2 linked regions of the Arabidopsis thaliana genome follow. The protein of the gene in region 1 purifies or fractionates together with the protein of each later gene. This does not show direct contact. Each region holds a gene or a part of one and is shown on either strand. Other genes may lie near its edges. The genes, in order: CPN60A and PAF1.

Evidence for each region.
Region 2: the proteins of CPN60A (region 1) and PAF1 fractionate together in Arabidopsis thaliana (co-fractionation; one large-scale study listed by BioGRID). This does not show direct contact.

Annotation. Positions count from the first base shown.
Region 1 is NC_003071.7:11,924,485-11,930,147, forward strand, and holds CPN60A (chaperonin-60alpha), read left to right. Parts: upstream 1-1,961; 5' UTR 1,962-2,118; coding exon 2,119-2,172; intron 2,173-2,486; coding exon 2,487-2,670; intron 2,671-2,767; coding exon 2,768-2,889; intron 2,890-2,963; coding exon 2,964-3,171; intron 3,172-3,256; coding exon 3,257-3,402; intron 3,403-3,484; coding exon 3,485-3,791; intron 3,792-3,876; coding exon 3,877-4,328; intron 4,329-4,412; coding exon 4,413-4,700; 3' UTR 4,701-5,004; downstream 5,005-5,663. UniProt on the Arabidopsis thaliana protein: Binds RuBisCO small and large subunits and is implicated in the assembly of the enzyme oligomer. Involved in protein assisted folding. Required for proper chloroplast development.
Region 2 is NC_003076.8:17,158,346-17,162,990, reverse strand, and holds PAF1 (proteasome alpha subunit F1), read left to right. Parts: upstream 1-1,834; 5' UTR 1,835-2,015; coding exon 2,016-2,366; intron 2,367-3,235; coding exon 3,236-3,721; 3' UTR 3,722-3,947; downstream 3,948-4,645.

The sequences.
Region 1 (5,663 bases):
TACCATGAGCAAAACAAATACTCGCGAGGAGAAACAAAATGAATAAGGTAAGTGGAAGTGATAAAGACAGATAGATCTCAGAAGAAAAAAGGGAACACAACACATACCGATCGGAAGGTGGCCGGAAAAATCGTCGGAGCTCCGGTGGTGAGTTTAGATATGTATGTAAACCGACCGTGGGAGATAGAGAGAGAGACTGAGAGAGACTGAGAGAGAATAATGATTGCGTAAAGCCGTAAAATCTGTAATGGTTTTTTTCTTGACGTATTAAGGTGGGTTTTATCAGTCTTTCTATTACACGGTACTGTACTTACTCTCTTAAAAATCTATTTTGTCGGTTTTTTTCCACGAAAATTATTTTCTTCTTTAAACTGATACACATGTATCAATATCCAAATGAAACACATTTTTATACAAATTGAAACATGCAATAAACTACGGAATATCTAAAAAACAATAAAATTAACGGCCCTAAAATTAATTTTAACTAAATTCTTTAATAAAATAAAATAAAATCATAAGTCTATAAAGTATTAGTTATTTTATGGTAGTTTAATGGTTAATAATTGTTTTTTCATATAGAACATAGGAATGTGGTTAAATTTCAGAATTTTAATACACTTTTAACTTAATTATTTGTTTATATGAGGCACTTTAAGTTTTAGAAAACTATAAACACATATGCAAAACATCAAACCAAATTATGTTTTTGCATGTCTTTTGTTGCATGCTCTATATATCCTAACTATTTTTGCTTAGTAGTCCACTAAATTGTTTCGTTTCAATCACAACCACTCAAGAAAATAATTACAATAGATTACTAAAACAAGTTAACAACAGTGTTATTTATTTACTCTTTTTGTCGTAATGCTTTAAATTACATGTCTCTTTCTTTTCATCGGACAACTGTTAGTGTGTTTTTTTGTACATCAGGACAACTGTTAGTTTACTCATGTTTTCTACATTGTACATTTTGGCAGTCAATTTTACGGCACGGTTTCCATTAAAGATATGGACGTCATCTTATGGTAAGCTGCATCTTTTGAGGAATAATACATGTAGACGTCCCTATTTATAATTTTTGTGTTACGTAACTTCCCTTTTGTTATTAATTAAGTGTGTTTATTTGGTCAATTCACTCAATCAAATCAAACCCAACGCCAAACTGCAACTATTTATGTGATTGACGCTTCAGAGTTGAAACTGCCACTTTTGTCAGATTTATTATCTCACTTCCCAACTTTTCTTTTCCGTAACTAGTGAATTTATTCATGGGAAACTAATTTAATGCATGGTATATGATGCGTACAACAAGCAATACTTATATGAAAAAAGATTTAGAAACAAATTGTATTGGCTTAACTAAATCAATTAATCATGTAGCAATTAGGTGATTTGGAGTCTATTCTCTGTTTAGAAAAGTAGTAACTGTTGTCTTTATGAGAGTTTCTGTTTTACTTAGCGGGTAAATCTACTCTAAGCTAGGTGTTTTCATCCACTTAACATGTATTTTATAATCTCATGGTTTTCACAAGTCTTAAATTGTACTTATTAGTTTGGTCTAAATATTACTCCCTTTGTTTCATTATATTGGATGTTTTAGGGATTTTATTTTGTTTCAGATTATAAGATGTTTTACAAGTTTAAATTTAAATTTAATTTGACTATTTGTGACTATTTATATTTTGCAGTTTTCATTATCATTTTTTTTAACAAAATCTAAATACTATTTTTTATATACAAAATGACCTAATATGTATCCATTTACCTTAAACCTCTTATATTTTAAAACAGAGTGAGTACATTCAGTAAGAGAATGGATAAAAACGAATTTGGAATACACAAACTATAAAAGTTTCTTGAGTACTGTTTCTATTATTGGGCCATAAACAGTGAGACAAACAGGCCCATAGAAGTAGGTGAAAAAGGCTTATTAAGATCAACGGTTCTCTCGTTACGAATGCAAAGAATCTTCTGGATCCTTTTTCTCTCAGCTACTCTCTCCATTTATCTAATAAACCCTAACCCCTCCTCCCACACTATTCGTTTACACTAACCACTTCCTTATCCACACCAATCCAGAACGTTCCTCAAAAAGCTCCCTCCTTTTCTCTCAAAATGGCGTCTGCAAACGCTCTCTCTTCCGCCTCCGTCCTCTGTTCTTCCCGTCAGGTACAAAGTTTGTTCCTTTTTACCTTCCTTAGCTACTTACTAAAGAAGAAAATGAATCATCTTTCATTACTTTGTTTTGATTGGATTTGACCCTTCAGTGTTATCTATTTTCAAAAACCTTTCTCTATCTGGTTTATTGGGTTTTTGAAGAAAGTGATTGAATTTGACCCTTTAGTTTGTTCTGTTTCAATTCAATTGCTTTTCTCTATTTGGTTTCTGGGTTGGTGAGAAAAGGTTAATTTTTATGGGAATTAGAAGAAACTGATTGAGATTAATGTTAATGAATCTGCTTTATTGATGTTGTGGGTATACAGAGTAAGTTGGGAGGAGGAAATCAGCAGCAAGGTCAGAGAGTTAGCTACAACAAGAGGACAATCAGACGTTTTAGTGTTAGAGCTAATGTAAAGGAAATAGCTTTTGACCAGCACTCTAGAGCTGCTCTACAAGCTGGTATTGATAAGCTTGCTGATTGTGTTGGTCTCACTCTTGGCCCTAGAGGTATTTGTTAATATTAGTAGCTCCTTTACTCTTTCCATCTTCATCTGTGTTATTTATCTTTCGACTTATCTTGGTGTTTTCATTTGTTATTCTTAAGGGAGGAATGTTGTGTTGGATGAATTTGGAAGTCCTAAGGTTGTGAATGATGGAGTCACCATTGCTAGAGCTATTGAGTTACCTAATGCCATGGAAAATGCTGGTGCAGCGCTTATTCGTGAGGTTGGTGTAGCTTTGTTATTGTCTCTGTTAATGCTATTTATACGGTGCGGTAATCTGGTGTTGTTATGTGGTAGGTTGCGAGTAAGACTAATGACTCTGCTGGTGATGGGACAACCACTGCGTCTATCCTTGCTCGGGAGATAATCAAACATGGATTGTTGAGCGTCACTTCTGGTGCGAATCCCGTTTCACTCAAGAGGGGAATTGATAAGACTGTTCAAGGTCTGATCGAAGAGCTTCAGAAGAAAGCTAGGCCCGTGAAAGGTCGTGATGACATCAGAGGTACTAACTTTGCAGTGACCTTCCTTGTGATGCAGCAATGTTTGATTTCTTTTACTGATCAATCTGTTCTTTTTTTTTTTTCCAGCTGTGGCTTCTATCTCTGCTGGAAATGATGACCTTATAGGGTCAATGATTGCTGATGCCATCGACAAAGTTGGACCTGATGGTGTTTTGTCCATTGAATCTTCATCTTCTTTTGAGACCACGGTCGAAGTTGAAGAAGGGATGGAGGTATGAGTTTTTTTGTCTTGCTTCTCTTCAACTGTAATTTTATTCACCATTCATTGCCAATGACTAACTTGATTATTTACAGATTGACAGAGGTTACATCTCGCCTCAGTTTGTTACAAACCCTGAGAAACTACTAGCTGAGTTTGAGAATGCTAGGGTATTGATCACTGATCAGAAGATCACTGCGATCAAAGACATCATCCCTATTTTGGAGAAGACCACTCAGCTTCGTGCTCCGTTGTTGATTATTGCAGAGGATGTTACTGGTGAAGCCTTAGCTACCCTTGTCGTGAACAAGCTTCGTGGTGTCCTCAATGTTGTTGCCGTTAAAGCGCCAGGATTTGGAGAAAGAAGAAAAGCCATGCTTCAAGATATTGCAATCTTGACAGGTATATGCAGATTTCGCGTGCGTTTAGTACTTTTACTTTCTCTCTGTTATGGTCTAAACTTTTTATCATTTTGTATGTTTTTCAGGAGCTGAGTACCTAGCCATGGACATGAGCTTACTGGTTGAAAACGCAACCATAGATCAATTGGGTATTGCCCGAAAAGTCACGATTAGCAAAGATTCGACTACCCTCATTGCAGATGCAGCTTCCAAGGACGAATTACAAGCTCGGATTGCTCAGCTGAAGAAAGAACTATTCGAGACTGATTCTGTGTATGACTCAGAGAAGCTCGCTGAGAGAATTGCGAAGCTATCTGGAGGTGTTGCTGTCATTAAAGTCGGAGCAGCAACTGAAACTGAGCTTGAGGACCGTAAGCTTCGTATCGAGGATGCAAAGAACGCAACATTTGCTGCTATCGAGGAAGGCATAGTTCCAGGTGGTGGTGCTGCTTTGGTGCATCTCTCCACTGTTATTCCCGCCATTAAGGAGACTTTTGAGGATGCTGATGAACGTTTGGGAGCTGACATAGTACAAAAGGTAGCATTTAGTTTTTCGGTTCAGTATTTGTTCTGTAACCAATTGTGACTAGTTATCTTATAAGGGTTTATGTTTTGAGTTCAGGCATTGCTGTCACCAGCTGCTCTTATTGCTCAGAACGCTGGAGTTGAAGGAGAAGTTGTTGTGGAAAAGATTATGTTCAGCGATTGGGAGAATGGGTACAACGCAATGACTGATACATATGAGAATCTGTTCGAAGCTGGAGTGATTGATCCGGCTAAAGTGACAAGATGTGCGCTACAGAACGCTGCTTCCGTAGCAGGAATGGTACTGACCACTCAGGCCATTGTTGTTGACAAACCGAAACCCAAGGCTCCTGCTGCTGCTGCTCCTGAGGGTCTCATGGTGTAATCAAAACACAACATCTTATCATCACAATGGCATCTTTGTCTTTTTGCACATTTGTCATCCCCATTTATCTGCAATGTTTTTCTTTTTTGGGGGAATATGAGTAGTTTGTTAACAGTATCGAGAAATAATTATCATCTTTTTTGTCCAATGGAAATTGCAGAAAATGGTTATGTATGCGACCAAACATTTTATATGTAGCGAGAGTAGTTTAGCAGAACAATAAGCAAATATGCGTACAAACTGAATAATGTTCCAACTTACTATACTATTAAACTAGGAGGGAACAATGTTTTTTCATGCCTTTACTAGTTTTCTCATAAAACTTGATCTGGATATTGCACTTCGATGATCTACGAACCATTAGCAGATCTCCGGTGATTCGATACTTCTCCTTGTCGTTTATTGCACAGGCACGAACTTTGACAAGCACAAGACATGACAGTTTCTCTATGAAATGTCTCATTTCCTCTAGCTCTTCAATTGTTCCTTCATATTCAGTTATCTTCAATACTTTCACAGGACATCACAATCCATATATTCTTGTAAAGTTAAGTATATATACAGGGAGATCAGACTCGTTGGAACCACTCGTACTTTGACTTGGAACTGCTCCAAAACTAAAAGAATTTTTGGTAGATGATTATGTATGTATCCTTCTCTTCCTCCTCTTCTTGTTCTAGCTTTGATGGACTAAAATACTAGTCAAAATTTTGCTTAATATATACCCCTTATTGCTTCTCAGAGATATATCTACAAAACCGAGGATCTTCCATTTTGATGGAATCAACCGAGTCTTGTTCCCGGATGCTTGTCATCGCAGCTAGAGATATTCGAGTGGAAAGGATATAGAGATAGAGTAGAAGGGGAAAAATTCTTGACATACATTTTAGCCAACTCTAAGCGTTTAAAGACCGCAACAATCTCTCTGCCCTTCGATCTTGAAGATCAAGAGGTGATCATCGA
Region 2 (4,645 bases), on another chromosome or scaffold:
AGTAATTAATTAGATGCTTTTTTTGTCATTAGATGCTTGAATCAGGAAAACTTACAAAATTGAAAACAAATCTAGAAAGTAATTATAAGTGAAAACATATAAAAACGTTATAAATCATAGTATATGCTAACTTTAACTAATCTATATAATAAATAAATTAAAATTTTGAAAACAAATCATCAAATATCAAATAAAGAATAATTCTTGGGTTCACTTCTAGGGGGTGAACCTAATTTATTCACCCCCTCTTTAATAACAAATCAATATTTGCCATGTTATTTGATTAAAAAAACTTAAAACAATTAATATTATCAAAATAAAATAATTAAAATAAATCATTAAAACCCCACTTTTTTGTAAATCCAAACCGATATATAATCTCGTTTAATTACCAAATCTAAGCCCTAATTCTCCTTTATAAACCCAAACCGCCATTTAGACTTATTTAATCGTTAAAAAACAAACCATAATCGTATTTTCTAAACCCAAACCGACATTTAACCTAGTTTAATTGTAAAATCTAAATATGTTTATAAGCCCAAACTAATATTTAACATCGTATAATCATAAAATCTAAACCCTAATCGTATTTTGTAAACCCAAACCGATATTTAACCTCGTTTAATCATAAAATCTAAACTCTCATTTTTTCTAATAAACTCAAACCGATACATAATTTTCTTTTAGTGGCAAATTAGATTTAATAGTTAAATTAATTTTTTATTATTATTACTAGTTTGTTAGTTGGGTTTAAAAGTTTCATCAAAGGAGATTTCATAATTGAATAAGGTAAGTGACGATTTTAAAATAGCTTGTTTTTAGAAGTTTTTCGTTCTAGGTTTGTTCTTATTGCATGTAGCTAGTTAGCGTCATGAACTAGTAACTGATCTTAGGGAGATAAAACCACAAAAGTGCTGAATTTATTTACTTGATCTAACATACATAGACTAGAAACTACGTTATAACAATACAAAAGCTTAGTTGTAGAGCTTTGTTTGTGGAGGTAAAGGAACTTGATCTCATTGGGTGATTGATTTTGTGGCTACAACAAAAATCTGAGTAGTTAAGTTTTTATCGATGCTACAAAATTCAATCCCCTAGTCATCTGTGATTCCAGTTTAAGGAACTTGAGCTAAACTGAATATGCTTTTGTTAATCTTCTTGTATGAGACAATATGAACTTTCGCGATATTCTTAAAGACTCAACGATTAATTATCATACAGTTGATAATAATAGTCGAAAATAACAATCGTTACCAATCCACTTCTATATTATGTATAAAATGATTAAAACTATATTATAAAACAAATAATAATTCAAATTTAAATAAATATTTAAAAATCAAAATTCTATTAGTGTTGTACAAGCACATGTTATGATCTACTTCATCACTATATTCGTCAAAACTAAAAATGTATGACTTTTCAGCTGTCATAAAAGTTTAGAAATATACAATAAATTAATTTTAAGATATCAATTTTAAAAATGATAAATGTTCTAAAATTTTAAATAGGATCAATCACAGAGACTTTTTTTTTGTAACAATTCAAATTATATGATTACTAATAACAAAATCGCAAAGTTTTATATTTATAAAATTAATTCATTTTTATTTAGTTTCAAATAATATACAAGAATATTCAAGCTAGTGTGCTCTGTTTTGTCTAATGTTTTTTTTTTTACTGAGAACTATTGACCAAACTCTTTTGTACATATTTAAAGATTCTTAAACAATTTCACATTTCATCAAAAAAAAAAAAAAGAATATACAAGGATTATCCTGTATAAAAACATAGGCCTAAAGTCTGTATAAAACATATGCCTAAAGTCTTAGCCCAATAAGCTAGATACCGAGCCAATACAAAGCCCAGAATTTAATAGAAGCCCATTAAATCGAGAGAGAGATCGAGAGCATCCATGGCTTGAAGGAAAAGAAAAGTTTTGTTTCTGAACTTTCGTCTCTATAAACCCTTTCGACGACGAGTGAAGAAGAAAGCGAGACGAAGAAGCAAAGATGTTCAGAAACCAATACGACACAGATGTTACGACATGGAGTCCAACAGGTCGTTTATTCCAAGTGGAATACGCCATGGAAGCAGTGAAGCAAGGATCTGCAGCAATTGGACTCAGATCTCGTTCTCATGTCGTTCTCGCTTGTGTTAACAAAGCTCAATCGGAGCTTTCTTCGCATCAGAGGAAGATCTTTAAAGTCGATGACCATATCGGTGTTGCAATCGCTGGTCTCACAGCCGACGGTCGTGTATTGTCTCGGTATATGAGATCGGAATCGATTAATCACTCTTTTACTTATGAGTCTCCTCTTCCTGTTGGTCGTCTCGTTGTTCATCTTGCTGATAAAGCTCAGGTTAGGCTTTTGTAGTTTGTTGATTGAGATTTGGTGGAATTTGGAATCGATTACGCTTGGTTTTGTGTGATTCGGTGATAAGTGTGTTGTAATTGTTAATTGAAATTTGAGGAATTTGGAATTCGATTACACTGTGAATCACTGAGCTCAAATTTAGCCATTAGCTTCTTGACTTTGTGCTTAGGGTTTGATCTGAGCTGATTAGGATTCTAAATTGCATTAAATAAGAGTTTTCTTAATTTATCATAGCAGAAACTTGAATCTTGTTTAGTGAAATTGTTTGCATGTTTGTTGTTACTGCTGCATAATCTTGTATTTAAAAGTTTAACCATAACTAAGAGCTTAACAATAGGATTCTAAAAGAAAGAGATTTGTGTTTCTTCTGGTGCTTTTGCTTGTTTCTGCAGTTTTTATTTGGAGTTATTGATTTTCAGTACCTCTAAGAAGTGAATTCCGCTCTTTGTTTTGCATCGTTCTCACCACTATGCACTTATCTTACCAGTCAATTACTCCTGCTAGGTGCTTGTTCGACATCTTTTCTGTAATTATGTGCTACTTCTCACTTTGTTTTTCCACCTATCTAATGGTTTCTTAAGTTAGCTGTTTTATCCACATCTGCATAAATACTTTTCAAAGCCATTGGGAAGAGCTCCCATATATTATATGTGTTTATAAAAGGAAGGGTCTTGTATTTCCTCATTGTCAAACTTTATTAGTTGGTTTACTCTTTTGTAGGAGAGATTTTACTTGACAGGTCCAACTTAAGTTACATTATTGTCATATTTCTTGTCTTTACCAAGGGTTTTTTTTGTTATATTTCTTGATCTGGAAAAGGAAATATTTATGTGTATGTTTGCCTTTATGAACAGGTCTGTACCCAACGATCATGGAAACGACCCTATGGTGTTGGTTTGCTGGTAGGTGGATTGGATGAGTCTGGAGCCCACCTTTACTACAACTGTCCCAGCGGAAACTACTTCGAGTACCAAGCTTTTGCTATTGGATCCCGTTCCCAAGCAGCAAAGACCTATCTGGAACGCAGGTTTGAGAGCTTTGGGGATTCTTCTAGAGAAGATCTGATCAAAGATGCTATTTTGGCTGTTAGGGAGACATTGCAAGGGGAAACACTGAAGAGTTCTCTCTGCACAGTCGCTATTCTAGGAGTCGATGAACCGTTCCACTTCCTGGACCAGGAAGCAATACAGAAAGTGATCGACACATTTGAGAAAGTGCCAGAGGAAGAGGAAGGAGAAGGCGAGGCTGGTGAGGGTGAGGCCGAAGCTGCCGAGGCTGCACCAGCAGAACGAGGTGGTGGTGTTGCAGGTGACCAAGACGTGGCTCCAATGGAAATGTAAGGCTTGTGTGTGTAACGCTGGAACTATTTTATTTCGATGTTAGTTGGATTTTTACTTTGCAAAATGGCTGCGGGTTTAGATTATATGCTTGAGAAGTTGAAACCATTTCGTCATTTAAACTCAATAGCTGCCATCAAGACTTTCTCGTATTCTGGTCTTTTGGTTTAAATCTGAAATCTGTTCACGACTTCCTATCTCTTTGGTTCTGCAATTCCTTGCTAAAAAAGTGTGTAGTGTCATCTAACTAGGGCTGTCAAGCAGGCCAAGCCAGCCTTGTTAGGCCTGCCCTGCAGAGGGTTTTAACAAAAAAATTGACCAGCCTCAAGTTTCCTTCGAAGGTTAATCTAAAATTTGTTAACCCAAAGAACTCCAGAATTTAATGTTAAATCGTAAATTATGATAAAATCATTAGCTCGACGTCATTTAGTCTAATAGAAAACATAAGTGGCCCCCTACATGGTGACGACTACGAAAGACTTTGGATAATGGGAACCATGTAAACCAGACCCATTGACTTTGCCGTCTCTCTTAATCATTTGCTTTATCCAGCATCCGTTCTCGTATATACACCAAATTAACCATCAAAGGAAAAAAAAATGATCAAGAGTTTATCATTGCATCTAAGAGCTAGTGGATCATATAAAATTGAATTAACAACGAACAGTCATGTTTTCGGTGTCAAAAGACATTGTGAATTAAACATACGAAACTACGTCAAATCGTTTAAGGCAATTGGAAAACACAAGATCTTTTACGGGTTCAGGTGTCTCGTTGTAAGATTATCCTACATTACAACAGGGTTTGAACGATAATCATTGTCAACCGTTTCTATCAAGAACATAGGAACTTTAAATTGTAGCAAAAACGCAATTTCACGATTTTATCGGCAATTTTTATATAAGTTCTGTACTAAAATGCTATTCC